Linked DNA regions of Stegostoma tigrinum. The protein of the gene in region 2 purifies or fractionates together with the protein of the main gene of each other region. This does not show direct contact. Links are inferred from orthologs where the notes say so. Each region holds a gene or a part of one and is shown on either strand. Other genes may lie near its edges.

The links.
Region 1: the proteins of mtmr9 (region 2) and atp5if1b purify together in Homo sapiens (affinity purification with mass spectrometry; 5 studies listed by BioGRID and IntAct, with this or other methods). This does not show direct contact. The link is inferred for Stegostoma tigrinum from reciprocal best matches to the Homo sapiens genes MTMR9 and ATP5IF1.

Annotation. Positions count from the first base shown.
Region 1 is NC_081377.1:35,732,361-35,748,659, reverse strand, and holds the start of atp5if1b (ATPase inhibitor B, mitochondrial), read right to left. Parts: upstream 6,982-16,299; 5' UTR 6,860-6,981; coding exon 6,785-6,859; intron 6,729-6,784; exon of another isoform or gene 6,714-6,728; coding exon of another isoform or gene 6,702-6,713; intron 1,947-6,701; coding exon 1,834-1,946; intron 1-1,833.
Region 2 is NC_081357.1:78,591,065-78,606,991, reverse strand, and holds the start of mtmr9 (myotubularin-related protein 9), read right to left. Parts: upstream 7,975-15,927; 5' UTR 7,902-7,974; coding exon 7,720-7,901; intron 5,297-7,719; coding exon 5,188-5,296; intron 1,384-5,187; coding exon 1,258-1,383; intron 1-1,257. UniProt on the Homo sapiens protein: Acts as an adapter for myotubularin-related phosphatases. Increases lipid phosphatase MTMR6 catalytic activity, specifically towards phosphatidylinositol 3,5-bisphosphate and MTMR6 binding affinity for phosphorylated phosphatidylinositols.

The DNA.
Region 1 (16,299 bases), on a different chromosome or scaffold from region 2:
AGGTATTGAAAAAGCAGTTTGCTAAATATCATGCATCAGAGATTGCTTTTCTCAAGCCATAGCCAAGAAGGTGTACATTTAAAAAGGCAAAGGGCAACATTTCTTCTCAGCAATAGACCTGAGCAACTGGGCAGTCACGAACCGCAAGTGTTGCATTGAGCAAAATAATTATAAAGAAAGTGTTATTGAGAACCAGCAGGAAACTTCAATATCTTGGAGACCCAGTGATGTGAGCAAAAAAATTGGAAAAGCTTCTCTCAATTCATCAAACCCATTCATGCAAAATTTAGATAGGAGCTAAGATTGACCACTACCTGCGTGCTCAGGATTAATATTATGCCAGTGTGATTCAGACATGTTATTGGTTCCAGTTGTAACTATCAAGTATTTATCCAATGTGCATTATGGAAGTCTGGGATTTAGTCTAACTGCTTGTTTCAAGACCGTTGGCATAAACAGCCTGAGCTAAGTTGAGTCCTGTGCTAAATTGATACTGCCAAATTAAAGGTGGAAATTTTGGGTTTCAATGTATTGGTAATCTTTTTTGGAATAGATAAAGTGAAAGCAACTGATGTGCATGTTTTCATTTACTGTATTTTTCCTCCAATATCAATATCTAGGCGGTTACCATTCACCAGAAATTGGCCAAGTAAATACCTTGGCCACAAGATTAAGTCAGACGCTGGTAACTCAGGCATGAACTCACTTCCTGAAATGCAAATATGATCAGCTCCAATAACATTCAAGAAATTTGACATCATCCAAGACAACACATCCCTCTTCACCAGCACCCCTCTATCACCTTCAAGATTTGCTCCCTCTACCGTCAACACTAGCAGTCAGGACCATCTACAAGATGCACCATAGTAATTCACCAAGGTTTATCATACAGCCCCCACCAAACAAATCCTACCACCTAGAAGGACAAAGGCAGTGGATGCATAGGTACACCATCAACTGCAAATTTCCCTCCAAGCAACTCACCTTTCCTAAATCTAATTGCCATCTGTTCCTGGAAGAAAACCCTGGAAGTGTCATTCCAGCAGCACCGTGGGTACCCGTACACTCCAAGGACCGCACCGGTGCAAGGCCACCACCCCCCCCCCCCCCGCCAGGGGGTTGGCACTGGGCGGGTGCGCGCACACACACCATAAATAAACAGAGGCCAAAGCAGTTTCTGCATCACAGAACATAAACAGTTTTTGAGTTTTTAGAACTGGTTTTCAGAATTCTTACCAAGCATGAGTGAACAAACTTTTTCAGGTATATCTATACGAAATGCAGAACTTACAATGTAAATATGACTGACAAGCCTCAACTATTCAAGAATATTTAGGCCCCATCTGAGTCTGAAGGAAGTCATGTGTTTTAAAACACCCCCCATCCAAACTGTAGAAGGGAGGCCATATTTTACACTAGCAGGATAGATAAAACAAACTGGTACTGTGGATTATACGGACTTTCAAACAAACATTTCATGATGCATGGCATGTAAAAGTGTGACATATTGCATCAATTGGCCGCCATCATGACAGAAGCAACAGGCTGAGTTTAATACATTGGAAACACGCTTTACCCCATTAAATTGAAACTTTACACAAAGCCAAAGAGTAGACTACCCTTGGCAGCAAAACAGATTGTTTAAAATCGTGTACAGAGAGTTGCAGAGATTTGTCAATTTCAGACAGCCGCCTCCTCTCAATTCAACAGATCCTAAATCATCACATCAGGATTCTATACATATTGGGTGGCTGTATAGTTAAATCAAGGCAGGATGGAGAGGGGATAAAACAGGTCACAAGTGACAAAAATCAACAACGTAGAAGTAGTTACCTGAAGTATTTTTCCTCCATTGCTGCCTCCCTTCTGCCGAATGCACCTCCAGCTTCTCTTATGCTCCCTCCACCACCACCTCCTTTTCCAGCACCCTGGCCAAGCTCACCCAGCTGAAACACAGTAATGTCCACCTTCAGGTTAGGCAATGCTGTATGTGTATTTTCTATGTTCCCTTGGAAGGAAATATCTGGTTTTATATACAAATTGGAACCGCTCAACATCTCAGCAATGAGATAATGGCTTATCTGGTTATGGCTTCAGGCCTACTTTATGGTCAGCCCACATAACTCAATTCCCTTGTATGTGAAAAATCTAACACAGCCTTCAACGAATTTAAAGACTAGCCTCCACTGGAGAATTCCACACTAACACATTGAGAAGAGTGTATCTTTCAGAAGAATACTTTCTTCTTAACCTATGCTCCCTAGATTTCATCTGCCCCACAAGAGACAACATCCTTTGGCTCCAAACTATCTAGCACCATGATGGTGTTAGATGTCAAGTTACTCCAGGATCCTAAAACAAATTATATCTTCTATTTTATCAGCACAAGTGTGCTAAATAACTCAAAACAAATAGTGTGGATGCTGTAAATCAATCAATAACAAATTTCTGGAAAAGATAGGTCTGGCAGCATCTGTGGAGAGAAATCAGAGTAAACATTTCAGGTCAAGTTGAGCAAGAGTCACTTGACCTGAATCACTGACTGATTTCTCTCCACAGATGCAGTCAGACCTGCTGAGTTGTCCCAGCAATTTCTGTTTTCGTTGCTAAGTCAGTTGCAGCCTATACGACAAATGACAGTGACAGGATAATATGAAACAGCAGTTACAATTTGATTTTTGACTGCAGGTATGAAAATCTAACAGCTGCAAACAACGTAATAGAAAGTTGCCAAATCAGGCTCCTTCAGAAAATACATTTTGGTCAAATTGTAAAAGACCATTGACAGTTTTAGTGGGTGAAGACCAAGGGATTCAAATCAACCTGTTGAAAGTCACAATCCAGGACAAAGCCATTTACTTGACAGGCATCCCACTACCCACTTGGGTCCAAGCTATGCCGGGCTCTTTGTAGGATTCGTGGAACAGACCCTCTTCTGTAATTTCACTGGAATCATCCCTCACCTCTTCCTCCGCTACACTGAAGACTGTATTGGTATTGCCTCATGCTCCCATGAGGGGCATGAACAATCCATCAACTTTACTAACACCTTTCACGCCAACCTCACCTGGATCATCTCAGAGTGTTCCATTCCCGAACATTCCAGATGCTCCGCTACTTCAAGGACCATAACTTATCCCTCCAGTGATTCATAATACCAACAACAACATTGCTTGCATTTCCTGCAGTTCTGCCCTTAAAACCCCTTCTCCCCAAAAAAAGGCCAAGTTCCCTGGTCATCACAGAGCACCCAACCAACCAACCTCCACATCCAGCACATTATCCGCCGCCACTTTTGCCACCTGCGATCTGACTGCAAAGAGACATTTCCTTCCCCACCCACACCTGCCTTCCACAGGTACTGGTCACTCTGACTCCCTCTTCCACTCCACACTTCCCACCGAGCCCACCACACCCCCCGCACCTTTCCCTTTAACCGCAGGGAAGTGTTACACCTGCTTGTACACCTCCCCTCTCACCACCATTCAAGGCCCCAAACAATCTTTCCAAATCCAGAAATTCACTTCTACATTCCCCAACCTGGTCCACTGTATCCATTGTTTTCAATATGGTCTGTGCTTGATCTCACCGTAGAGGAGACCAAGTACAGACTTACTGACTGATTCACAGAGCATCCATGCTCCATACACTATAATCAACAGCACCTTCCAGTTGCTGACCATTTTAACTACCACTGCTCCCCACCCACCCTCTTGTGTCACAATTACACTGCACATAAAACTACAGGAACGCCACCTCAAATTCCACTTTTGCAGCTTACCGCTCAATGGCCTCATTGTGAAACTGATTTCAATCTCCCCAGCCCCAGCCTCATCCAATGTCCATCGCTCCCTCTCATGCCCACCTCCTTGACCTGACACAAACCATCAATCTTCTTTCTCACACATTCGCTCCACCCTTCCCATGACACATCTCAACAACCCCCTACCTGCATCCACCTATCACCATTCCACTTACCTTCCCCCAGCCCCACTACTTTCCCACTTCTGACAAAGGGTGTAAACCCAAAAACACCAACTTTCCTGCTCCTGACTGTTATGTTCCTCCAACTCCAACGTATTGACCCCTCTACCATTGGTGTTTTCTAGATGCAGCTTCCAAATCATGACATCTACTACCCAAAGGGCCAAAGACAGATGCATGATCTGCACATTACACTACAAACTACACACTACCCTTGTTTAGTGATAATGGTAACTGCAGATGCTGGAGGATCCAAGATAAAGTGAGGAGCTGGATGAATACAGCAGGCCAAGCAGCATCTCAGGAGCACAAAAGCTGACGTTTCGGGCCTAGACCCTTCATCAGAGAGGGGGATGGGGAGAGGGAACTGGAATAAATAGGGAGAGAAGGGGAGGCGGACCGAAGATGGAGAGAAAAGAAGATAGGTAGAGAGGAGAGTATAGCGAGGAGGTAGGGAGGGGATAGGTCAGTCCAGGGAAGATGGACAGGTCAAGGAGGCGGGATGAAGTGATAGGTAGGAAATGGAGGTGCGGCTCGAGTTGGGAGGAAGGGATGGGTGAGAGGAAGAACAGGTTAGGGAAGCAGAGACAGGCTGGGCTGGTTTTGGGATGTAGTGGGGGGGGGGGGGGAAGAGAAGGGGGACGAGCTGGGCTGGTTTTGTGATGGGGGAGGGGAAGAACTGAGCTGGTTTTGGGATGCAGTTGGGGGGGGGGGGGGGGGGGGGGGGGAGAGAAGAGATTTTGAAGCTTGTGAAGTCCACATTGATACCATTGGGCTGCAGGGTTCCCAAGCGGAATATGAGTCGTTGTTCCTGCAACCTTTGGGTGATATCATTGTGGCACTGCAGGAGGCCCATGATGGGCATGTCGTCTGAGGAACGGGAGGGGGGAGTTGAAATGGTTCGCGACTGGGAGGTGCAGTTGTTTGTTGCGAACCGAGCGGAGGTGTTCTGCAAAGCAGACCCCAAGCCTCCACTTGGTTTCCCCAACGTAGAGGAAGCCACACTGGGTGTGATGGATACAATATACCACTTGGGCAGACGTGAAGGTGAACATCTGCTTGATATGGAAGGTCATCTTGGGGCCTGGGATAGGGGTGAGGGAGGTGGGGTGAGGGAGGTGGTGTGGGGGCAAGTGTAGCACTTCCTGCGGTTGCAGGGGAAGGTGCCGGGTGTGGTGGGGTTGGAGGGGAGTGTGGAGCGAACAAGGGAGTAGCGGAGAGTGTGGTCTCTCCGGAAGGTAGACAAGGGTGGGGATGGTAAAATAGCTTGGGTGGTGGGGTTGGATTGGAGATGGCAGAAGTGTCGGAGGATGATACATTGTATCCAGAGGTTGGTGGGGTGGTATGAGAGAACGAGGGGGACCCTCTGGGGGCGCTTGTGGCAGGGGCGGGGTGTGAGGGATGTGTTGCGGAAAACGTGGGACATGCGGTCAAAGGCGTTCTCGACCACTGCAGGGGGAAAGTTGCGGTCCATGGACGTCCAGTACCTATACACCTGTATTCCTCATGCAGATGGCCTCAAGGCCCTCCGCTTCTTCCTGTCCCGCAGGCCCGACCAATCCCCCTCCACCGACACCCTCATCCGCCTAGCCGAACTCGTCTTCAGCCTCAACAACTTCCCTTTCGATTCCTCCCACTTCCTACAAAGGGGGTGGCCATGGGTACCTGAATGGGCCCAAGCTATGCCTGCCTCTTTGTAGGTTACGTGGAACAGTCCCGCTTCCGCACCTGCACTGGCCCCAAACCCCACCTCTTCCTCCGTTACATTGATGACTGTATCAGCACCACCTCTTGCTCCCCAGAGGAGCTCGAACAGTTCATCCACTTCACCAACACCTTCCACCCCAACCTCAAGTTCACCTGGGCCATCTCCAACACATCCCTCACCTTCCTGGACCTCTCAGTCTCCATCTCAGGCAACCAGCTAGAAACTGATGTCCATTTCAAGCCCACCGACTCCCACAGCTACCTAGAATACACCTCCTCCCACCCACCCTCCTACAAAAATTCCATCCCCTATTCCCAATTCCTCCACATCCACTCCCAGGATGAGGCATTCCACTCCCACACATCCCAAATGTCCATGTTCTTCACAAACAGCATTTAGCCAATGTCACCCATATCCTGCTAACAATCTAAAACAATTGAAAGCTCAAACTTAAAACATGGAAATTATTAAAATCACAGGCTAAGTTGTTTAATCCTTTCACTAACACTGGTTAACGTAACAACAGTGAACAAAACAAAGGGAGCAAGAATTCTTCTGGCGGGTGCTGCTGCTGTTAAGACAAACCACTGCAGAGTGAGGAACAAAAACAGAAATTGCTGGAAAAGCCCAGCAGGTCTGGCAGCATCTGTGGAGGAAAAAAACTGAGTCAGTGTTTCGGGTGCGGTGACCCTTCCTCAAAACCGCAGAATGAGATTTAATTCCCCCACCCCGAGCTTTAGCCTTGCATACAGCTCTGGAACACCATCCTTCCAGCAGGGCTCACCTCACGGCCCAGACACAACCCCAGCCCCAGCCCCAATCAAGGCCCAGGCTCCGGTAACTGGGCCTGGGAAGGGCAGCTCCACCCAGTACAATGACCTTGGGTTGTTTTGGGTGGGAAAAGGTGGAGGATAGGAGTGTGCAGTGGGACATCAGTGGGGTGAAGCAGATGGACGGGGTATCTCTTCACCCCCGTCCCCCGCCTGGGCCTGCCTCATCACTCACTCACCGGACCCGACATGATGTCAAGCTATCACTCCGCTCCTCCCCTTCCCAGGCCAAACACAGCCCTGCCCTATCCTGGTCTGATACCTGGCTACCGTCGCTGTAAGCCCGCAACTGCCGAACGACGAGGAACTGGCTCCGAAACAGCAGCAGACGCGCCATCGTCTCCACCCTTGCAATGACCGAACGGTACCCGAACCAGCCGCCCGCACCACGTGACCCCAGGCCCTGTCAATCAGGTGGGCCACGCGCCTTAGACCCACGTGACAGGGTCCACCTTCAATCAGATGTCGTCCCCGTCCTTAGACCCACGTGATGATGCACACTCTACATCAGGAGCTGGGCCCGCCCCTAGACCCACGTGACCTGGTCCGCCGTCAATCAGAAAGTAGTCCCCGCCCCTAGACCCTCGTGATCATGCCTTCTGTCAATTAGAAGGTGGGCCCCGCCCCATTTGTGAAGAAGGGTCCAGACCTGAAACGTCAGCTATCCTGCTCCTTTGATGCAGCGCAGTGTTCCTCCAACTCCACACTGTGTTATCTCTGACTCCAGCATAGGCAGTTCTTAATATCCCATGCAGGGTTCTTAAGGGGCTTGATAGAATAAATGCTGACAGGGAGTGTGTGGGACCAGAGAGCATAGTCTCAGAACAGGAGGATGCCAATTTAAGACTGAGATGAGAAGGAATGTCTTCTCTCAGAGGATTCTAAGTCTTTGGAAATCCTTGCTGCAGAGAGATGTAGGGACAGAATCTTTCCGTCTACTTTAAGGCTGAGATATATGGATTCTTGATCAGTAGGGGAATCGAGTGTTAGTGGGAAAGGACAGGAAAGTGAACATGCAGAGTGTTAAAGCAGCCATGATCCTACTGAATAGCAGAAAAGGCTCCAAGAACTGAACTGCCTACTCATGTTCCTATTTTGTATGGTTTGGCGATTTATCAGGAGAGTGCGGTTGAAGTGCAATCAAAAGGAAAGCAAAAGATTTCTAAGCTAACAAAAACTGGAAAGTCAATTAACAAATCAACTAATCACCCAATAACAAAACTGCCCATCGAGATGTGAGTTCTTTTAAGAAATAACTACACTTCTCATCAAATTACAAACAGTATCCATGAGACACTTTTTTTGAATATCAACTTGTTTGGACATGTTATGACACAACATGTCTCCAGAATAGGTGGGACTTGAAGCCAGACCTTCTGGCCCAGAGGTTGGGACACTTCCACATCAATATAAGACACCTAGGAACACACATCTTAAATACCAATAATGCAACCCTGCTCTCAATCAACTCTGGAGCTGGTCTGGTTGACCCTTAAACAACTTTGTTTCCAACACTGAGGAAATGAGTTAACTTGAAAGAAAATACCCGTGACCACTAATATCTTAATACCCGGGAAATGACAGTCGTATCAGTTTGACATTACAGTGGGAAAACTGATGGAAGCCATAATACAGGATAAGGTTGGTATACACTTAGAAAAAAAAAGTCAATACAAGACAGTCAGCATGGTTTTGTCAAGGTTAGGTCATGTCTGACATATTTAAACTGAGTTTTCTAAAAAGGTGATACAGACAATGGATAAGTGTAGTGCTGTGGATGATGTCTATTTGGACTTTCAGAAAGCAATTGATATGATGACACATGGCAGGTTGGGGTTAGCAAATTAGACATGTTTGGGATTGATGGGTGATTGGAAACAGAGGGTAACTATAGATGGGCATTTTTCACATTGGAGACAAGTTGAGAATGGTGTTTCCCAAAGGGTCATTGATTGGACCCTTGCTTTTTTCTGATCTAGATAAATAATTTGGAGATGGGTGTTGAGGGCAAAATCTCTAAATTTGCAGATGATACTAAACTAGGGAAAGTAGTGAATTGTGGGGGTAATGTTGAGCAACTTCAGAGGGACATTGACAAGTTGGCCAAATGGGCAGACACCTGGTAGATGAATTTCAATGCATTTTGGTGGAAGAAAACTGGACAGAAAATACAGTTCAATGGTACAATTTTGAGGGAATTACTGGAACAGAGGGACCTCAGGGTTCAAGTCTTAATTAATTTGATTCATTGTTGTTGCTTGTGCTTAGCTACAGTGAAAAGCTTTGTTTTACAAGCAGTACAAAGAGATCATAGCAAACAAGGACATACAGGCTGCTTAGACAAAGCTAGGCATATAAAGTCACTGCTGCATAGGAGGTACATAAAGCAAGATCATCCTTAGCAAGATCTGCTTTATTTTAATTTGGAGAGGTCCATTCATCAGTTTAATAACAGCTGGGAAGAATCTGTTCTTGAACCTATTGGTGCATGTGTTCAAGCTTCTGTATCTTCTGGCTGATGGAAGAGATTGTAGGAGAGCATTAGCGGGTTGGGAGGGCCCTTTGATGATGTTGGCAGCCTTTCCCCAGCAATGCGATGTGTAAATGGAGTCTGTGGATGGGAAGTTGATTTTTGTGACGGTCTGGGCTGTGCACACAACTTTCTGTAGTTTCTTATAGTCCTGGACAGATCAGTTGCCACGCCAGGCCATTATGCACCCGGACAGTTCGCTTTCATTGGTGCATCTGTAGAAGTTGGTGAAGGGCCTTATGGACATGGCAAATTTCCTGAGCCGCCTGAGGAAGAAGAGGCGCTGTTGTGCTTTCTTGACAGTTGCACCAATGTGGGAAGTCCAGGACAGATTGTCAGTTATTGTCACTTCTAGGAACTTGATGCTCTTGACCCTCTCTACCTCAGTTCCGTTTATGTGGTAGGGTGTGTTCTCCTCCTTTCTTCCTGAAGTCAATGGTCAGTTATTTTGTTTTGCTGACATTGAGAGAGAGATTGTTATCATTGTGCCACGACACCAAGCACTCTTTCTCTTCCCTGTATTCTGACTCATTGTTGCTTGATATCCGTCCTACCACAGTGGTGTTGTCAGTAAGCTTGTAGATGGCATTCGTACAGAATTTGTCTACAGTCTGTACAGGGAGTACAGTAGGGGACTAAGTGCATCCTTGCAGTGCACCAGTGTTGAGGATTATGGTGGAGGAGACGCTGTTGTCTATCTTCACTGATTGTGGTCTGTGGGTCAGAAAGCTGAGGATCCAGTTTCAGAAGGAGGATCCGAGATCTAGGTCTCGGAGTTTTGAGATTAGTCTGATAGGGATGATGGTGCTGAAGACAGAGCTGTAGTCAATGAGTAGGAGCCTGACGTAGGTGTACTTGTCATCCAGATGTTCCATGGATGACTGTAGGGCTGGGGAAATGATGTCTGCTGTGGAGCTGTTATGTCCATAGACAAATTGCTGGGGAAGGAGGCTGGCTGGGAGGTTCGAGTTAACGTGGGCCATGATTAGCCTCTCAAAGCACTTCATAATTGTCTGAGGTGGCCAGGCAATTTGAAACAGTTGTTTAGAAGTCTTATAGAACCCTTGGGTTTATAAATCAATGCACAGAGTATATAAACAAGGAAATGATGCTACACCTCTACAAATCATTGGCCAGACCACATTTGGAGTGTTGTGTTCAGTTCCTTATTTAAGGAAGCATATTGAAGCCCTAGAGAGAGAGCAATGGAGATTTATGAGAATGATACCAGGAATGAGGGATATTAGGTGCAAAGAAATATTAGAGAAATTGACCTTACTTTCCTTGGCGAAACAAAATTTAAGAGGTGAGTTTACTGAAGCATTCAAAATTATGAAGAGTTGACACGGTAAATAACGATATTGTGTTTCCACTAGTTATTATTTGTAACTTGGGGTCGCAATTTCAAGACTGTCAGCAAGAGAGCTACGAGTGAAATGAGGAGAAATGTCTTCTCTGAGAGAGTTGTTAGGATTTGGAAAGTGCTGCCTGGGTAAGTTGTGGAGGTGGATTCAATTGGAAGTTTCAAAAGAGAGCTAGATATACACTAGAAAGTGATTAATTTAGAGGGCTACAGAAATAGGACTGGAGAAGGGACTAGCTGGTAGCTCTTTTGGGAGCCAGTAGAGATGCGATTGGTCGAACAGCCTGTTTCCATCCTGTAAAACTTTACGATCCGCTGACTCTATAATTGAGTCTCATTCTGGTTCCTGGAGACTGAAGGAACGTATACTTACTACATTTCCTTCTTTCTTCCCCTAGCTTTCCAGTTTAATAATAAATATTGATCTCAGAATCTTGATTATTGGATGAACAACAATTAATTTGTGTCTTCATTCCCAGTTCAACCAGAAACCGGAATGTTTCAGCATCTTCAGGAAATGAGGAAGGAAATTGAATCCCAACCCCATTTGCCATAATTAGAAAGTTTGCAATTCAGTTGCGCTCAAGACTAGTACCTTAGGTAAATAATTGTAGAGTACATCTATTCATAATTAAGTTGCTGAATTGTCGGTTGCATGCATCTAGTGCAACGTTTTTACAACTGAATCAAAAAATTGAAAATGCTTTCTATAACATAGCAAATTTTAAAAAAACTAAACCGATAAGTGAAATATGGTAATAAAATGTGAGGCTGGATGAACACAGCAGGCCCAGCAACATCTCAGGAGCACAAAAGCTGACATTTCAGGCCTAGACGCTTCATCAGAGAGGGGGATGGGGTGAGGGTTCTGGAATAAATAGGGAGAGAGGGGGAGGTGGACCGAAGATAGAGAGAAAAGAAGATAGGTAGAGAGGAGAGTATAGGTGGGGAGGTAGGGAGGGGATAGGTCAGTCCAGGGAAGACGGACAGGCCAAGGAGGTGGGATGAGGATAGTAGGTAGGAGATGGAGGTGCGGCTTGGGGTGGGAGGAAGGGATGGGTGAGAGGAAGAACTGGTTAGGGAGGCAGAGACAGGCTGGACTGGTTTTGGGATGCAGTGGGTGGAGGGGAAGAGCTGGGCTGGTTGTGTGGTGCAGTGGGGGGAGGGGACGAACTGGGCTGGTTTTGGGATGCGGTGGCGGAAGGGGAGATTTTGAAGCTGGTGAAGTCCACATTGATACCATTGGGCCGCAGGGTTCCCAAGTGGAATATGAGTTGCTGTTCCTGCAACCATCGGGTGGCATCATTGTGGCACTGCAGGAGACCCATGACTGACATGTCATCTAAAGAATGGGAGGGGGAGTGGAAATGGTTTGCGACTGGGAGGTGCTGTTGTTTATTGCGAACCGAGCGGAGGTGTTCTGCAAAGCGGTCCCCAAGCCTCCGCTTGGTTTCCCCAATATAGAGGAAGCCACACCGGGTACAGTGGATGCAGTATACCACATTGGCAGATGTGCAGGTGAACCTCTGCTTAATGTGGAAAGTCATCTTGGGGCCTGGGATAGGGGTGAGGGAGGAGGTGTGGGGGCAAGTGTAGCATTTCCTGCGGTTGCAGGGGAAGGTGCCGGGTGTGGTGGGGTTGGAGGGCAGTGTGGAGCGAACAAGGGAGTCACGGAGAGAGTGGTCTCTCCAGAAAGCAGACAGGGGTGGGGATGGAAAAATGTCTTGGGTGGTGGGGTCGGATTGTAGATGGCGGAAGTGTAGGAGGATGATGCATTGTATCCGGAGGTTGGTGGGGTGGTGTGTGAGAACGAGGGGGATCCTCTTTGGGCGGTTGTGGCGGGGGCGGGGTATGAGGGATGTGTTGCGGGAAATGTGGGAGACGCGGTCAAGGGCGTTCTCGACCGCTGTGGGGGGAAAGTTGTGGTCCTTGAAGAACTTGGACATCTGGGATGTGCTGGAGTGGAATGCCTCATCGTGGGAGCAGATGCGGCGGAGGCGGAGGAATTGGGAATAGGGGATGGAATTTTTGCAGGAGGGTGGGTGGGAGGAGGTGTATTCTAGGTAGCTGTGGGAGTCGGTGGGCTTGAAATGGACATCACTTACAAGCTGGTTGCCTGAGATGGAGACTGAGAGGTCCAGAAAGGTGAGGGATGTGCTGGAGATGGCCCAGGTGAACTGAAGGTTGGGGTGGAAGGTGTTGGTGAAGTGGATGAACTGTTCGAGCTCCTCTGGGGAGCAAGAGGCGGCGCCGATACAGTCATCAATGTAGCGGAAGAAGAGGTCGGGTTTGGGGACTGTGTAGGTGCGGAAGAGGGACTGTTCCACGTAACCTACAAAGAGGCAGGCATAGCTGGGGCCCATGCGAGTGCCCATGGCCACCCCCTTAGTCTGTAGGAAGTGGGAGGAGTCAAAAGAGAAGTTGTTGAGGGTGAGGACGAGTTCGGCTAGGCGGATGAGGGTGTCGGTGGAGGGGGACTGGTCGGGCCTGCGGACAGGAAGAAGCGGAGGGCCTTGAGGCCATCTGCATGCAGAATACAGGTGTATAGGGACTGGACGTCCATGGTGAAAATGAGGTGTTGGGGGCCAGGGAATTGGAAGTCCTGGAGGAGGTGGAGGGCGTGGGTGGTGTCACGGACGTAGGTAGGGAGTTCCTGGACCAAAGGGGAGAATGTTCCTTGTTCAAGTATGAAACCTGTATTATTATCAAAAGTGAATCCATCTAAAGTTGCTGCTGATCAGTTTGCAAGTATACTGATTTGTTCTTTTTCCTCAACTGTATAAAGCACCATCTAATGGTCAGGCAGGAAATGACTGAACATCAAGCATGCTTTGGAATTAGACCTCAGAGTGAGGTTATAGCACTGGCTTTCAGGTATTACATATATTTGTGTTCCAGAATGATATTTTTCATAACACTGAGTAGAGTTAGTCTGAAGTCTCAAGTATAGTTTGGATTTATTATGTAATTGTTAATCTTTAGACTATTGCTTGTTCAAACTTTATGGGAATCTAAATAATTATAGTGTGGTCACACTGCAATAAATATGCATATACAAAGTTCTGCAATAGTTAAAGAGTCAAGGGAAAAGCCAAGCTCGTTTTTGATATTGGTTAAGAGAGAAATGTTGGTTAGGTTCCTGTGAAAACTCTGTGCTTTTTTTGGATCATGCAAGATCCTTTTTCTGCATTCAACTTGTCAGAGACACAGCGCCTTAGAGTTTAACATCTTATCTATTAGGCATTAAAGGCACTCTCCAATTTGGCATAAGTTAGGGAGAACCATTGTCTCGAAGTCAAACATTATCCTCAGGTCAATGTATATCACCACTGCTGGGTCACTAATCAAGTGTTCCCTGTCTCACACCAGTGTACCATGGCCATCACAACATGAGCCAGAGGGGTTATCATAGAGCAACTAGGATTTTTTTTATTATTCATTCATGGGATGAGGTTGTCGCTGCATTTATCACCTATCCCTAATTGCCCAGAGGGCAGTTTAGAATAACCACTTTGTTGCGAGACTGGAGTCACATGTAGGCTAGACCAGGTAAGGATGGCAGTGATGAACCAGGTGGGTTTTTCCTGACAATTAGTAATGGTCATTATTAGACTCTTAATTACAGACTTTTCTCTTATTGATTTCAAATTCCACTGTCTGCTGTGGTAGGATTCAAACCTGGGTCCCTGGTCTAAACTGCCCTCCGGGCAAATAGGGATAGGTGATAAATGCATCGACAACCTCATCCCATGAATGAATAATAAAAAAAAAATCCTAGTTGCTCTGTGATAACCCCTCTGGCTCATGTTGTGATGGCCATGGTACACTGGTGTGAGACAGGGAACATTTGATTAGTGACCCAGCAATGGTGATATACATTGACCTGAGGATAATGTTTGACTTGGAGACGATGGTTCTCCCTAACTTATGCCGAATTGGAGAGTGCCTTTAATGCCTACTAGATAAGATGTTAAACTCTAAGGCTCTGTGTCTCTGACAAGTTGAATGCAGAAAAAGGATCTGGCATGATCCAAAACAAAGCACAGAGTTTTCTCAGGAACCTAACCAGCATTCCTCTCTCGACCAATATCAAAAACAAGCTTGGCTTTTCCCTTGACTCTTTAACTATTGCAGAACTTTGTATATGCATATTTATTGCAGTGTAACCACACTATAATTATTTAGATTCCCATAAAGTGTGAACAAGCAATAGTCTAAAGATTAACAATTACATAATAAATCCAAACTATACTTGAGACTTCAGACTAACTCTATGCAGTGTAATGAAGAAGATCATACTGGAACACAAATAAATGTAATACCTGAAAGCCAGTCCTGGGTTTCTGGATTAACAGTGCAGTGACAATACCATTAGGCTGTCACCGATCTCTTGTCACGGAGAAGTCCAGTGGAAAATGGACATTAAAACATTGTATTCAGCATTTTAGAACCAAATCTTAAATCATGTCAATGAGAGTTTCAATACTTGGTCAGTAGAAAATTTTGACAACTCTAGACCAGATGCAGGGAGGAACGTCATAGGCCCAATGGTTTCTCCTGGTCTGGGACCCAGTCCCTGAACCAAGAAACAAAGTCCTATCTCAGACCGTCAGACTCCCACACTGACCCAAGTCCAGCACCCCACCCTAATTAGCCCAACACCCTCACAATGACCCAAATACAGTGACTTGTGACCCCATAATAACTTAAGCTCGGTGAACACACACTGACCCAAGCCCGCCAGCCACAACCCATTCTGAGCTCAGTTGTCTTACTCTAACCCAGGCACAATTGGCCCTCTACTGCCCTGGACCCCCATTAATGGATCCCTTTAGTACATCTTGTCCCAGGCTTTGCTGTAAACATACCTGTGGGGGTAGGGGTATTGGGGGCAAACCAGTTTAATGTATCCAGCCAATAACTTTTCATTAGTTTATTTTGTGAAAATGTTTTCTGATGCTTAGGAGGCTCCCCAGCATTCTGGATCTGAATTGCTGAATAGAGTGGGTTGGTCTTATTTGTGTCGTGGTTAAATAGCAGTTACCATTAAGACACACATGGAAAAATGGCCAATTTGATGTGTTATAGGCTGGGGTGACCAGCAGTCCTGGAATCAAAAATCCCCAAGAGAATCAGTGTCTTTAGGGCACAAGGAAAATAACTTCCAATCTGAATCGTATCTGACTTCTTTACATATTTTCGCTTTCCACATGTTCTCACAATGTGCAAAACTGTAAATAATTTATCTCCAAGAGAAGGTCACAGTGTCTTAAATTCCATTGGGTCTGTGTTATTGATAAGATTCTTTGGATTGTTTCTAGGATTGATCAAGTTTCAGGAACTCACTGATTAGCAGCATTTCCTTTCCAAGGTCAGAGATTTTCGGAAACCGGGGTATGCAACCCTCCACAGAGGGACTTAAGAAAGGATCTCAGGAATCCAGCATGATTCTTAGAGGCGCTAAGAGTTGTTTGGAACTGTGAGCTACCGGCAACACCTCTAGTTCTGTTCTCTGTGTCATTGCTTGCTGCCTGATGATTTGGAATTGTTGTTTCTTTGCTGCAGTCTGACATTGATCAATATTATCTGGTATTGTGAACCTGTCTTTTCAAATTCCACAGGTGAATTGACAATGTTTGTAAGTCATCCTCAAAAAAAGTGAGTTTTGAAAATCGCTTCCCAACTGCAGAGGAGACAGGGGTGGTTGCCCACAAATGGGTTAACAGTGGCAAGTCATTTGAGGGGCTCTGGCTTCATGTGGTGTGATTTAATTCTGTTTGGACTGATGAAATGTGTTGCAGTGACAGTGGATAAATGTAGCACCGTCAGCTGCAGTCTAGCCTGATTCCTCTCAGTTCTGGCAGGGGATAGGGGTAGATGTCTG
Region 2 (15,927 bases):
AGAATTCTCTGGTCCTCTGCCACCAGTCTAAGTATGACCAGAGAATTACGGTAAGCGTCTCTGCAATTTTCACACTTATTGCCCTCAGTCTCCTTAGATACAACACATCTGATCCTAGAGTTCATCAACTTCAACTACAGTCAATCCAATAACTTTCACTTTAATCAATTTTATCCTCTAAGAATCTGAATTACCTCCTCTTTTACCATGACCTGCTTAGCATCATCCTCTTTGCTAATGTTAGTTTCAAAGTATTCATTTAATACTTCAGCAGTGTCTCCTGTTTCCACGCATAAGACCCTATTTAATGTCTAATTTCCCAATGCTGTGTAAAAATATTTATTATGAACCATGGTCATGTCACTGTCTCCACATTCAAGTTACCTTTTTGGTCTCTAATTCATAGTCATAGAATCCCTACAGTGCAGATAGGGGCCATTCGGCCTCATTGAGAATAGCATCCTATTCAGAGCCAACTCCCCACCCTATCTCTGCAATCCCATATTTACCATGGCTGATCCACCAAGCCTACACATCCCTGGATGCTACAGGGAAATTTAGCATGGCCAATCCACCTAAACTGCACACCTTTGGACTAAAAACCAGTGCAGCTGTGAAAACCCAGGCAGACACAGGGAGAACGAGTATACTCCACACAGGCAAGTGCCAAGGCTGGAGTTGAGCCTGGGTCCCTGGTGCTGCGAAATACCAGTACTAACCATTGTGCCACTGTATTCCCCGTCCAGCTTAATGCCTCATTTCAATCATAAAATACTTCAGGATTTTACTCAGTAACGCTTGCTTGTACTCCTTTTATGTCTTCTTTTTGCTCTACTATTTTCCCTTCTAATTTCCCCCGTGTACTTCCAATGCTCCTCTAAGTTTCCTTCAAGACTTAATTCTTGGAATCTAATAAATGTTCTTTGTTCCTGATCCAACAATATATATTTTCTGATATTTGCATAAGTCTAGGTTTGAATTCAACTTCTGTTTCAGAAAGAATGCTCTCTCTCTTTTTAGGCTTGTTATATACTGAAAAAATAAACTGTCCTGAATGCAGAAGAAATTCTGTATCCTCAGCACCATTTACACTGAATTTAGCTCAGTTGTTATGGAAATGGTTGAAATTCCAGACTATGATCCTTTTTAGTTTCAAGATGCTTATATATTTGCCAAATATGGCCAAAACCCAAAACCATGCCAGCAACTGGAACAAACTCATGCACCATACTTGCAAATAATTAAAATTGGACTCACTGATGCAGAAAGCAAAGTAAACTCATGCTCGGGAAGGAAGGAGTGCCATCCATCTTCCAAAACCTCAAACATAGGTCGATAAAAGAAGGGATACATCAATGTGGTAGAATCCAAAGTAGATAATGTCTGAACAAGGAGAAAACAAATAAAGCATTATCACTTCCAAGATTACTCAGTCCCATTATCACCGCAAACTTACAGGCCAAGCTATTTTTAAAAGGAAGTCTTCAACTTCATTTGCCATAAAAAGCATCAAATCCTCCTGTTGTCTTGTGGTGTCAGCAGCTATCATTATCATACAGAAAATGCACCAACGTTCTGCATGCACCCAGACACAGGATAACCATGAGAAAAACAATCTGGCAGATTTCTTACGTTGAACACAAGCCATTTGCAGCATCCAAAGCCTCAGATGGGACACAGTGGGAAATTCAATGTCTCATCAGAAGGTGTGCACCTCAAACCTTGCAGCTTTTTCAGTACTGCAGTACCAGTATGAGTCTGAGCCTAAGTCCTTAAATGTTATGCAATGCCACAACATTGTGTGACACTATTGAAATGTTCTCCCAACCAAGCAAGACTGTTAAAATAAAACAAAAATTTCTGCTGATGGTTCAATAACCAAAGCTACTCTGGTGATCTGCATTGGTAAGCTCTTAAAAATTATGGCAAAACCAAATTCTTTTGAGGTTCAAGTGGAGGCAATATAAATGAAATGAAGTTCACCAATATTAAGCAGATTACCTGCTTGAGTATAAATATCTTAAAAAATTCATGAAACCTATTTAATCCTATGTGCTCAATAAAGCACGTCATAACTTCTGGAGTGTCATGTTGGATTCACCATGCATCGGTTAGTTGTTTGTATCACTGTCTTCTTTCTTTATGAACAGCAACAACAAGTTCAAATGAATAGGAAATTTACTCACAAGAAACATGATCACAAAGCCTAATGAACTTTCCACAGTGAGCACGTATCTTCCAAACCTCAATTTAGGAAAAAGTAAATTAGGACACTTAATTACGTTACAAGAAAGCACTAACAATGAAGGCTAATTGCACACCAGCTAAAAACTAGAGACCAAACTGGTTAAGACTTTACAGTAGACTTGGGATGCTGATATTAAAATCCATACAGACTTTGAAACTGTCTCATCAAATGAAGTAAGCAAATCCTTGCACCAAACCGGAAATTCTTGATGCATGAACTAATCTTTAAAGGACTTAGCACAAGCTCTCAAAGTAATTCCACCTGCTGGTGATCTATTCTGAAAATTGGGCAGACAATATACCTAGAGATAGCAGGAACTGATGCTGGAGAATCTGAGATAATAGGTGTAGATTTGGATGCACAGAGAAGACCAAGCAGCAGAGGAGCAGGAAAGCTGACATTTTGGGTTTGGACCCTTCTTCAGAAATATTTCTGAAGGGTCCAGACTCGAAACGTCAGCTTTCCTGCTCCTCTGACACTGCTCGGCCTGCTGTCTTCATCCAGCTCTACACCTTGTTATCTGAGGCAATATATCTATCCTGATTTAATCAAGTCGCAGAAGTATTTAATATTGAAAGAAAGCAATCTATATTAATGGTCCATTATGGTTGTCAATTAGTACAGCCATCCCTTTAAATGGCCTAAGGTCCTTTCCCTCTCAGCTTCAATCAACATATGGAAGCAATATTGATTTCTTTCCTAAAGTGAACGAGCAGAAATTCATAATGTACCTTGCATGGATTCCTGTCAGTGAGATAACTCAGCAGGAAATGTCCACCAAAATTGTAATTTATGATTATGGTCCTTTAGTAAATATGGGTAAATGCATGCTATATCCAATTTTATGACATCTATGCATGAAACAGACTCAGATTACTTTATATATAGCAAGGGTTGCAAGCAATTGTACAGCTGACAATAATTAAGTCAGAAGGATGCCCTCCACAATTATTCAATATTTTACATTTTTTTTGTGCCTCTCCAAATTTGTTCCAAAAGTCAAGCACCACGGCCAATATCATGGCCCCTTCTGTTAGTACATTATCCAAATTGATTAATTAAAAGTGATAATGGGAACTGCAGATGCTGGAGAATCCAAGATAATAAAACATGAGGCTGGATGAACACAGCAGGCTCAGCAGCATCTCAGGAGCACAAAAGCTGACGTTTCAGGCCTAGGCCTCTCTGATTAATTAAAAGGGTATTTTTAACTAAACACTCTTGGTTAAAAAGACAATTTTCTGTCTTTCCATTGATTCCTTATCATGTAGAGGAAGGCTATTTGGCGTATTGAAACTGCACCAGCCCTTTGGAGAAAATCTCAACCAGGCCCACCCCCATCCCACAATCCCTAAGGCGGTTTTTATCACGGCTAACCCACCTAACCTGCACATCCTTCAACACTTCAAGTAAATTTCCGGCATGGCCAATCCACCTAATTGTACATGGGGCGGTATGGTGGCTTGGCGAATAGCAATGCTGTCTCACAACACCAGAGACCCAGGTTCGATCAGTGAAAAGCCACTAATGAAGATTTTGTAATTTTGCTGTTTTTTTTTAAATTGTTAAAATAAGTTCGGGCGATTGTCTGTGCATGGTTTGCACATTCTCGCTGTGTCTGCGTGGGTTTCCTCCAGGTGCTTCGATTTCCTCCCACAGTCCAAAGATGTGCAAGTTACGTGGATTGGCCATGCTAAATTTCCCATAGTGTCCAGGGATGTGTAGATTAGGTGGGTTTATAGGGGCATAGGTCTGGGTGGGGTGCTCAGTGGTCGGTGTGGACTTGTTGGGGTGAAGAGCCTGTTTCCACACTGTAGTGATTCTATGACAACCTTTGGACTGTGGGGAGAAACCAGAGCACCCACAGAAAACTGATGCAGACCCAGAGAGAACATGAAAACTCCACACAGTTACCCAAGGCTGAAATTGAACATTGGTCCTTAACAACTGTCAGACAGCATTGCTAACCTATGAACCAATGTGCTGCCATTCTGTAGTTATTTTGTGATATTCTTGATCTAGATCTGCAGAAAGAACTTATTTTAACAATTAAAAAAACAGCAAAATTACGAAATCTTCATTAGTGGCTTTTCACTGATCAAGAACTTCCCTCTAAATTTAACACATGACAAATTTCAATTCTTCTCAAACATGTGAATGGCAAATGCAATTCTATTTCTATCATGGAAGTCACAGTTTCTTCAAAAATATCTCTAGAACCAACAGTTTACAACACACAGAAAAGTCAAGGCAGTAACTGCACAGGGACACTTGTCAATCAGATATACATCATTCGTTATTCCTCCATCATTGCTGGTTCAATGCACAGCAACTTCCTGTTTAATCACCATGGGAGTTCCTTCAGATCATACGGGCAACAATGATTCAGTATGCAGCCCACTGTTAAATCTCAAATGATATTAAGATTAGATAATGCATGATGGCCTTATAATGGCCAACAGGAAACAAAAACAAATCGAAAGGAATAGGATCATTCAATGAGCTGTATGTTAAGACTGGATAAATACTTCCAACACTACACATTAAAATCTTCACTGAAACAGTCAAATAACATTTGAGAAGTTGTTATTGTTTCACTGAATTTGGACCTAGGTTTAAAAGTCAAAATTATCTCAACAGGCTACAATAATTTGACAAAAAGAAGTTTCAGCATCTCAACACACTGTCTTGTGTTCAAAACAAACCTGGACTATCCGTAATACACTCATTATTACTCAGAAAGCCAAAGCACAGCTGAAAAAAAAATCAAAGCTACAGCAAGAGTGTACTTTTGAAGTTAGAACTAAAGCATATCATAACCAAAAAAGGAATATTCATTCTGCCTGATCCTCAGCACTAAATCAAATCTTTTGAGAAGCTCTATTCTAATAATAATTTATCATAACTTGGAAAACAACTGATCAATAAAAAAATCTCACCTCAATAGAGCTTGCGATATTTAAACATTCTTCCATGCCAGGAATATCCAAGTGAATGATACGCAGATCCTTACATTTAATTGTAATTGAACCCAATGTTCCCACAAACCTGGAAATAAAGAAATACAATCTACTTAATAACAGCGGTATTTATACGTCATTTTTTTAAAAATTCTGCGCTTTCGAGAAATGGCTTTATTAGCATTAACACTCCCTATTAGCCTGGAATTCATGACAGTGTCAGTCAGATTTATGTAGGGCTATTGTTCGTTGTACAATGTGGTGATCAAAAGGAGTTTGCAGTGTACAGTGGGATGGGTCCTAGTGCTGATTTCTCTTCAAGTATGGAATATTTCAGTCAGACGGTGCTACATACTGGAGACACAGAATTTAAGTTATTTTCATTGTGCAGTCCTGCAAAATGATGAATTAGGTTAAGAGTTAGATTTTCTTTTGGCAATAACTGAAAATAAAGAGAATTATGATTTATTTTTTCTTTCTCCAATGATTAGAGCATTGCCCAGAGCTGCTTTCATAATGGCATGGTTTTAAGTAAGACTCAGAAAGACTGGGATTTATGCATCTTAATTTGTTCTTTCACTGGGTAGATAAATTTACTGATCCAAGAAACAGAAACCTATGGGTCTGCCACCAAAGATGACTTGCTCAGCACCTGGGGAATAGATCTCAAGGCAACACTTATTGAAACGTACTTTTATAAATTTTAAAGTTAGTCATGCATAATGTGAAGGATTCTTCTAATTATTTTAAATTGCTGAGCCCTCCTTTGTGGACTACGTTGATACGTTATTGCTGTGTAACACTGACTGTTTAAAAAACAAAATAATCTAAGTGATATCTTATCACACAGCTCACGTGGTAAGTTTAAAAAAGTATAAGGTGCCTTGTCGCGAAACCATCTCCACTGAATACAACTCGTATTTGTCTTTTCTTTGAGTCTTCCATGCTATTACCCAATTTCTGCCTCAATGATCCTTGTAAACTCTTGGTCACTTGTACTGTCCCCTATACCTTTATACAATTATGCTTTCAAACTAATCTACGTGAATTGAAAGGAACGACTATGGATGCCAGAAATGAACCAAAAACAGAAATTACTGGAGAAACTCAGGTCTGGCAGCATCTGTGGAGAGAATGCAGAGTCAAGTTAAGTCCAGTGACCCTCTGTCAGTCAAGTGACAGTTTAACTTAACTTTAGGAAGTAAGGACTAAACCCGTATGGAAATAAAGTCAACTGAAATACAGCCCCCACTGCTGCTAGCAATCATGTAGATAAGTGGTGTTCACATCAACATGTGTCAGATGGCAAAAATCAAAAAGTAGATTAACTTATATTTTTATAAAACAGGATTTTCCCATTTCTACTTAACAAATTGCACCCAGAATCCTAACACTCTTAATCCCAATCGAGCGGTTTCAATCAGCTATTTACACCTTCTTACAGTGCTTTTACATTGGCAAGTATTTATTGAACAGCCTGAAGTTGACAATGGATTTAATTAACCTTGCAGTTGCAACTATAGCAATATTGTTTGATACAGACGGTCAATGATGATTGATAGACATAAAGGATGTGAATAAAGACACCTGCAGGCAAAGGCACACAAATCTCAACAAGTAATAATACGAGTACTGTAGTAAAATGGACTTTGAAAGAGACCCACACTTCACTGACAGATTGCAAACATTTGGCACAGTGGCTATCACGGTGGACCGAGGTTGGCTTCCACCGTTGGACGACTATTTGCGTGGAAGTGCGCATATTCTCCCCGTGTCTGCGCGGCTTCCTCCAAGTTTACCGGTTTCTTCCCTCAGTCCAAAGAAATGCAAGCTACGTAGATTGGCCATTCTAAATTGCCCACGGTGTCCAGGGACGTGCAGGCTATGTGGAGTAGGCAAGGGATAGGGGTTCTGGAAGAGTAATCTTCGGAGGTTCGATGCGGACTTGAGACGAATAGCCTGCTTCCATACTGTAGGGATTCTATGACTCCACCTCTTAAACATTTGTTTCATACAAAAGACAAATTCGTGCAAGTACAGTGTGTGAGCCGCAATTACAACATACAGTGACAGATTTCTGGTCAATACTCGAGAGACAGGACATTACAGTTGGAGAAAGAGACAACATCTCCACGGGAGCAGATAAAGCGAAACTGAATTTTAGTGATTAGTGTAACATAGTTGCGAAACCTGTAGGAAAACAAAAAACAAGGAAATGGGGCGATCTTCTAGACTGCTCCAAATAACTGGACATGGGTATGGTTGACTATAAGTCAATAAAACTGGAGCTTGGAAAGCCACAGCAGGTCTGACAGCATCCAATGAGCAGGGAAGTCAATCTGTTGAGCCGAAACCCTTCGTCGGAAATTTATAGTTTATTTCTAAGCTGTTAGAGTTTACGAGCTCGTGGCCAAATCTGTTGACACATAAACCGTACAAGTGAGGTTAGGTCCGGCTACTTGCCTGCTACACAGTCGCCGCTGCTCGAAGCCCGACTCCAGCCTCACTCACCTTTTCTCGATGGCGTCGATGTTGTTGTGCAGTAGCCAGAGCTCCTCACTGTTATCCTGGCGGGAGGAGAGGATCAAGTGGTGCCCGGTCAGACACAGGGTGCCCTCCACCCGCGGCAGGAAAGGCCGGTGAAGGACCACATTGTCCACCCGCGGAGTCTTAATCAGCTCCGCGAACTCCATCGTCCACCCTCCCGGAACCCGCAGTGTCCGGACCACAATAACCTGCGCACCAACCACTCGACGGAAGACAGGTCCCGCAGTGCATTGCCCCCGAAAGACAACTTCCCGAGTCGTGGTTCCGACCAGAATTCACTGATTGTTGACGTTTCCGTCTCAGAAAGGTTAGCAATGGATTTCGTTCGTTTGGCCAGAAGGCCTGAGATTGCTTCACGCCGAATTACAGTCAACATGCCAAACGCCTTCTAGATCACTCTCTCCTCCAACCTGACAGCCACCACGGCTCAAATAGATAAAAAAAACAAAGTTAGAGAAAATCGGCAGGTCCGGAAGCAGCTGAGAGGAATAGAATTCAGGTTTCCAGTCCAATGTGAATTGTTCAGAAGTGAAGGGAGAATCAGAAAAGTGATGGATTTTTAGCTGCAGAACAAGGTGAAAGGAACAAGTAGAAAAATAAAGGTTAGAAGGCAAGGGATTAGTCGTGAAAGAGCGAAAGGCAAAGAGTTCACAGCAAAATGTAACTCAGCTCTGCTGAACATCAAAACCAAGAAGACCGTATGCTTGGGGTAGATGCTTAGGAAAGTATCAGAGAATAGAGTTCACTGTTTGAAGTTCCTGAAATTCCTCAAGGCTATCAGGAAATGATGGGAGGTGCTCTTAACTGAAGATGGCATGAGAAGGCCATTCTGCCAGATCAAGACAGGTGGTCAGAAGTAGTAGATGAGGTCAGCAACCTAGGTGACCTGGGTCCAAGAGTTGCAGAGAGGTGGTGACATCAGGCTCCTCGGTCCCTTTGAGGAGAAAATTCTGATCTGCGTGGAGAAGAGCATAATTCTTCACTTGGTAATGGAGAGTCCACAATAGCCAATCCACCAAGTAAGCTTCATTGTGCTCTTCTGCACTTTACTAATCCCCCATTATAACCAACACATTTTATTCCTCTTTGTCAACTCTCTTCTGCACTTCTATTATGTAAGCGTGAGCAAACCCGGCAAACCTGCACAAAGAGACCAGTGCTGGAGATTGTCAGCTGCACTTCCACCTCTGCTGAGGAAGCTACTGAATTCCTAGAGGATGCATTGACAGAGGCTTTCACCTTCACTCTCTACCAGCTCAGAGACTTTCACTTTGGTGTTCTACACTTTCTAAATTAGACTTGGGAACATGATCTGTTGAGCACATCACTGACTGTAGCTGATTGACAAAGGAACACCTTTGTCTGTAATACTCAGAGGGCAACCAGAGACCAGGCAACTGTTGGACTGCAGGCAGAACAGGAGCTTGTTCCCAACCATTATTGACTTTTCCAAAAAGCAGACAGACACAGGAACATCAGGTAGGCGTGTCAGAAGCACTTTGTAATCTAATTGAAAGATGGAGGAGTCCACCAATTTAATCAGTACAGTGCTAGCACTTGGCTGTGTGCATCCAGCTGTCAGACAAGTTGACATGGTCAGATAAAGCACCATGGACACCCAACTCGAGCACTTTAAGTGTTTGAAAAATATGGGTATAGATTACATTCCGTTGTTATATCCATTGTTAGTCAGCATCATTTGCAAGGGGGATATGGAAAGTCATTCTCATTCCAAGTGGCTCTTCCTGTCAGGGAGACAGCTTGGTAATGGCAGATACCAAAGAGGTAGAAAGAGCCACACGTAACCCCTAGAAATTTCTCCTCAGGACACCTGAGAGGTGTCCAGCCTCTCCAGTTTGCCCACCTCTGATTCCAGTCTGCAGCTCTTCAACTTGAGGATGATTAGCATGCATCTTGACAGGATACTGTCAGCAGACCTGGGTCATCTTGGCCCAAAGGCACCAGGGAACAAGTGCCCGAATATTCAGAGCATCCACATACTATGCTTCCTCTGACCCCATTGCAGAGATCAGGACTGCATTTAAAAGAGTATGAAGAGGGGAAGAAAACAAATTACTGAGAACATAGTGGAGACACGGATGAAATATCATTATAACTAATCTTCCACTTTTGTAAATGCATATTAGTTTGCACTGCTAAAATATCTATATAATTTTCGTTGTCAGACCTGGTTATGTATCATCCGTGTGAAAGATCGGCAGCATCTTCTCCAATACCCCAAGAAAGAAAGGAGTTCCAATTGCCAAGTATTGCTCTTCACTCACAAGCAACTGACTGCTTGAAAGCGGATAGCCTCAGCAATCCTTAAAATGCGGCATTAAGGACGGCAGCCAAGGTGTTCCACTTGGACAATGTTAAGGCCAAATGCAATGTGCAAGAAATGCGCTTAGGTCTGCTGTGGACACACAATTCCATACTGAAAACCACCTTCTGGTGGCGAGTGTGGAATCAGTGGTGATTTTACACATTTCTATAGGGAAAGTTAGTGTGACGCATCAACTTAGCAAGGGAGGCCACTGACATTCAAGTCTGGCAGAGATGACGAAAATGACGGCAATGCCTGCAGATGTGGGATCTCTTTATATTCCCTTGTCTCCTTGGTGGATCTTCACCTGCTGTTTCTCCCTCTGGAACATGTGCTTTTAGCACTGGAACTTTCTTATCCTCCTGATGTAGTTGTCTCCTTTTATATTGTTTTTGGTTAGTGCATTGAGTATAGGATTTGGGACATTGTGTTGTGACTGTACAGAACATTGGTGAGGCCACTTTTAGAATACTGTGTTCAGTTCTGGTCTCCCTGCTTTAGGAAAGCTGTTGTTAAACTTGAAAGAGTTCAGAAAAGATTTACAAGGATGTTGCTGAAATTTGAGCATTTGAAATACAGGAAGAGGCTGAACAGGTTGGGCTTTTTTTCCTTTGAATGTTGAAGGGAAACATGTTCTCATTCCAAGTAGCTCTTCCTCTCAGGGAGGCAGGTTGGTGCCAGGAAGTACCAGGAGACAGAAGGAACCACACACACACACACACACAGACACACACACACACAGACACACACACACACAGACACACACACACACACACACACACACACACACACACACACACACACACACACACACACATACATACATACAGTCCCCAGAAGCTTCTTCTCAGGACACCTTAGAGGTGTCTGACCTCTCCAGTTTTCCCATCACTGATCCCAGTCTGCAGCTGTTTGACTTGCATGCATCTTGGCAGGATACTGTCAGCAGACCTGGGTCAGCTGGGCCCGAAGGCACCAAGCAACAATTGCCCAATCTTTCGAGCAACCAAATAACATGTCGAGCATTTAGAGGGTTAATAGCCAAGGTCATTTTCCCAAGGTAGTGGAGTCCAAATCAGGGGGCAAAGGTTTCAGGTGAGAGGGGAAAGATTTAAAAGGATTGGGGTGGGGGGGGACATTTTTACACTGATGGTGGTGTGTGTAATGGAATGAGCTGCTAGGAAAGGTGGTGGAAGTGATTACAATTACGGCATTTAAAAGGCATTTGGATTGGTGCGTGAATAGGAAGGGTGTAGACGTCTATGGGCTAAGACCTGGCAAATGCGACAAGATCATTTTAGAATACCTGGTTGGCACGGATAAGTTAGAATAAAGAGTCTGTTTCAATGCTGACTCTATGGCTCCAGATACTGCTTATTCATGTGAGATCAGAGAGCAGATAACCTGTCAGGAACCAAGGAAGATACCACAGTTTTATTGAAGGAACTCGAGTTTTCACATCTGCTACACAGTAACATGTTCAACTCCTTGACTGGTCAGCCCTCTCCACCATCACCATCTCACCTCAAACCCATACCCTCTACTTTTGGAGATAATGGGAACTGCAGATGCTGGAGAATTCCAAGACAATAAAATGTGAGGCTGGATGAACACAGCAGGCCAAGCAGCATCCCAGGAGCACAAAAGCTGACATTTCGGGCCTAGACCCTTCATCAGAGAGGGGGATGGGGAGAGGGAACTGGAATAAATAGGGAGAGAAGGGGAGGCGGACCGAAGATGGAGAGTAAAGAAGATAGGTGGAGAGAGTATAGGTGGGGAGGTAGGGAGGGGATAGGTCAGTCCAGGGAAGACGGACAGGTCAAGGAGGTGGGATGAGGTTAGTAGGTAGATGGGGGTGCGGCTTGGGGTAGGAGGAAGGGATGGGTGAGAGGAAGAACTGGTTAGGGAGGCAGAGACAGGTTGGACTGGTTTTGGGATGCAGTGGGTGGGGGGGAAGAGCTGGGCTGGTTGTGTGGTGCAGTGGGGGGAGGGGACGAACTGGGCTGGTTTAGGGATGCAGTAGGGGAAGGGGAGATTTTGAAACTGGTGAAGTCCACATTGATACCATTAGGCTGCAGGGTTCCCAGGCGGAATATGAGTTGCTGTTCCTGCAACCTTCGGGTGGCATCATTGTGGCAGTGCAGGAGGCCCATGATGGACATGTCATCTAGAGAATGGGAGGGGGAGTGGAAATGGTTTGCGACTGGGAGGTGCAGTTGTTTGTTGCGAACTGAGCGGAGGTGTTCTGCAAAGCGGTCTCCAAGCCTCCGCTTGGTTTCCCCAATGTAGAGGAAGCCGCACCGGGTACAGTGGATGCAGTATACCACATTGGCAGATGTGCAGGTGAACCTCTGCTTAATGTGGAATGTCATCTTGGGGCCTGGGATTGGGGTGAGGGAGGAGGTGTGGGGGCAAGTGTTGCATTTCCTGCGGTTGCAGGGGAAGGTGCCGGGTGTGGTGAGGTTGGAGGGCAGTGTGGAACGAACAAGGGAGTCACGGAGAGAGCGGTCTCTCCGGAAAGCAGACAGGGGTGGGGATGGAAAAATGTCTTGGGTGGTGGGGTCGGATTGTAAATGGCGAAAGTGTCGGAGGATGGTGCGTTGTATCCGGAGGTTGGTAGGGTGGTGTGTGAGAACGAGGGGGATCCTCTTAGGGCAGTTGTGGCGGGGGCGGGGTGTGAGGGATGTGTTGCGGGAAATACAGGAGACGTGATCAAGGGCGTTCTCGATCACTGTGGGGGGAAAGTTGCGGTCCTTGAAGAACTTGGACATCTGGGATGTGCGGGAGTGGAATGTCTTATCGTGGGAGCAGATGCGGCAGAGGCGGAGGAAGTGGGAATAGGGGATGGAATTTTTACAGGAGGGTGGGTGGGAGGAGGTGTATTCTAGGTAGCTGTGGGAGTCGGTGGGCTTGAAATGGACCTCAGTTACAAGCTGGTTGCCTGAGATGGAGACTGAGAGGTCCAGGAAGGTGAGGGATGTGCTGGAGATGGCCCAGGTGAACTGAAGGTTGGGGTGGAAGGTGTTGGTGAAGTGGATGAACTGTTCGAGCTCCTCTGGGGAGCAAGAGGTGGCGCCGATACAGTCATCAATGTACCGGAGGAAGAGGTGGGGTTTGGGGCCTGTGTAGGTGCGGAAGAGGGACTGTTCCACGTAACCTACAAAGAGGCAGGCATAGCTGGGGCCCATGCGGGTGCCCATGGCCACCCCCTTAGTCTGTAGGAAGTGGGAGGAGTCAAAAGAGAAGTTGTTGAGGGTGAGGACGAGTTCAGCTAGGCGGATGAGAGTGTCGGTGGAGGGGGACTGGTCGGGCCTGCGGGACAGGAAGAAGCGGAGGGCCTTGAGGCCATCTGCATGCGGAATGCAGGTGTATAGGGACTGGACGTCCATGGTGAATATGAGGTGTTGGGGGCCAGGGAATTGCAAGTCCTGGAGGAGTTGGAGGGCGTGGGTGGTGTCACGGACGTAGGTGGGGAGTTCCTGGACCAAAGGGGAGAAAATGGAGCCCAGATAGGTGGAGATGAGTTCGGTGGGGCAGGAGCAGGCTGAGACAATGGGTCGACCAGGGCAGGCAGGTTTGTGGATTTTGGGAAGGAGATAGAAATGGGCCGTGCGGGGTTGGGGAACAATGAGGTTGGAGGCTGTGGGTGGGAGGTCCCTGAGGTGATGAGGTCGTGAATGGTGTTGGAGATGATGGTTTGGTGCTCGGGTGTGGGGTCATGATCGAGGGGGCGGTAGGAGGTGGTGTCGGAGAGTTGGCGTCTGGCCTCGGCGATGTAGAGGTCAGTGCGCCATACTACCACTGCGCCACCCTTGTCTGGGGGTTTGATGGTGAGGTTGGGGTTGGAGCGGAGGGCTGCCCGTTCTGCGGGGGAGAGGTTGGAGTGGGTGAGAGGGGTGGAGAGGTTGAGGCGGTTAATGTCTCGACGGCAGTTGGAGATGAAGAGGTCGAGGGAGGGTAGGAGGCCTGGGGGTGGTGTCCAGGAGGAGGACTTGTGTTGGAAGCGGATGAAGGGGTCAGTGGAAGGAGGGTTAGGTTCCCGGTTGAAGAAGTAGGCATGGAGGCGAAGACGGCGGAAAAACTGCTCTATGTCCAACCGTGACTGGTATTCGTTGATGTGTGGTTGTAGGGGGACAAAGGTGAGCCCCTTACTAAGGACTAACCGTTCGTCCTCAGTCAGTGGGAGGTCTGGGGGGATGGTGAAGATGCGGCAGGGCTCAGTGTGGCTGTCTTCTCTGCGGTTGCTGGCTGTGGAGGTTGTGGGCGGAGCGATGAGGTCGTCGGCTGTGGCCGGGGTTCCGCCTAGCTGAACTCGTCCTCACCCTCAACAACTTCTCTTTTGACTCCTCCCACTTCCTACAGACTGAGGGGGTGGCCATGGGCACCCGCATGGGCCCCAGCTATGCCTGCCTCTTTGTCGGTTACGTGGAACAGTCCCTCTTCCGCACCTACACAGGCCCCAAACCCCACCTCTTCCTCCGGTACATTGATGACTGTATCGGCGCCGCCTCTTGCTCCCCAGAGGAGCTCGAACAGTTCATCCACTTCACCAACACCTTCCACCCCAACCTTCAGTTCACCTGGGCCATCTCCAGCACATCCCTCACCTTCCTGGACCTCTCAGTCTCCATCTCAGGCAACCAGCTTGTCACTGATGTCCATTTCAAGCCCACCGACTCCCACAGCTACCTAGAATACACCTCCTCCCACCCACCCTCCTGCAAAAATTCCATCCCCTATTCCCAATTCCTCCGCCTCCGCTGCATCTGCTCCCACGATAAGACATTCCACTCCCGCACATCCCAGATGTCCAAGTTCTTCAAGGACCGCAACTTTCCCCCCACAGTGATCGAGAACGCCCTTGATCACGTCTCCTGTATTTCCCGCAACACATCCCTCACACCCCGCCCCCGCCACAACCGCCCTAAGAGGATCCCCCTCGTTCTCACACACCACCCTACCAACCTCCGGATACAACGCATCATCCTCCGACACTTTCGCCATTTACAATCCGACCCCACCACCCAAGACATTTTTCCATCCCCACCCCTGTCTGCTTTCCGGAGAGACCACTCTCTCCGTGACTCCCTTGTTCGCTCCACACTGCCCTCCAACCCCACCACACCTGGCACCTTCCCCTGCAACCGCAGGAAATGCTACAATTGCCCCCACACCTCCTCCCTCACCCCTATCCCAGGCCCCAAGATGACATTCCACATTAAGCAGAGGTTCACCTGCACATCTGCCAATGTGGTATACTGCATCCACTGTACCCGGTGCGGCTTCCTCTACATTGGGGAAACCAAGCGGAGGCTTGGAGACCGCTTTGCAGAACACCTCCGCTCAGTTCGCAACAAACAACTGCACCTCCCAGTCGCAAACCATTTCCACTCCTGCTCCCATTCTCTAGATGACATGTCCATCATGGGCCTCCTGCACTGCCACAATGATGCCACCCGAAGGTTGCAGGAACAGCAACTCATATTCCGCCTGGGAACCCTGCAGCCTAATGGTATCAATGTGGACTTCACCAGTTTCAAAATCTCCCCTTCCCCTACTGCATCCCTAAACCAGCCCAGTTCGTCCCCTCCCCCCACTGCACCACACAACCAGCCCAGCTCTTCCCCCCCACCCACTGCATCCCAAAACCAGTCCAACCTGTCTCTGCCTCCCTAACCAGTTCTTCCTCTCACCCATCCCTTCCTCCTACCCCAAGCCGCACCCCCGTCTACCTACTAACCTCATCCCACCTCCTTGACCTGTCCGTCTTCCCTGGACTGACCTATCCCCTCCCTACCTCCCCACCTATACTCTCTCCACCTATCTTCTTTACTCTCCATCTTCGG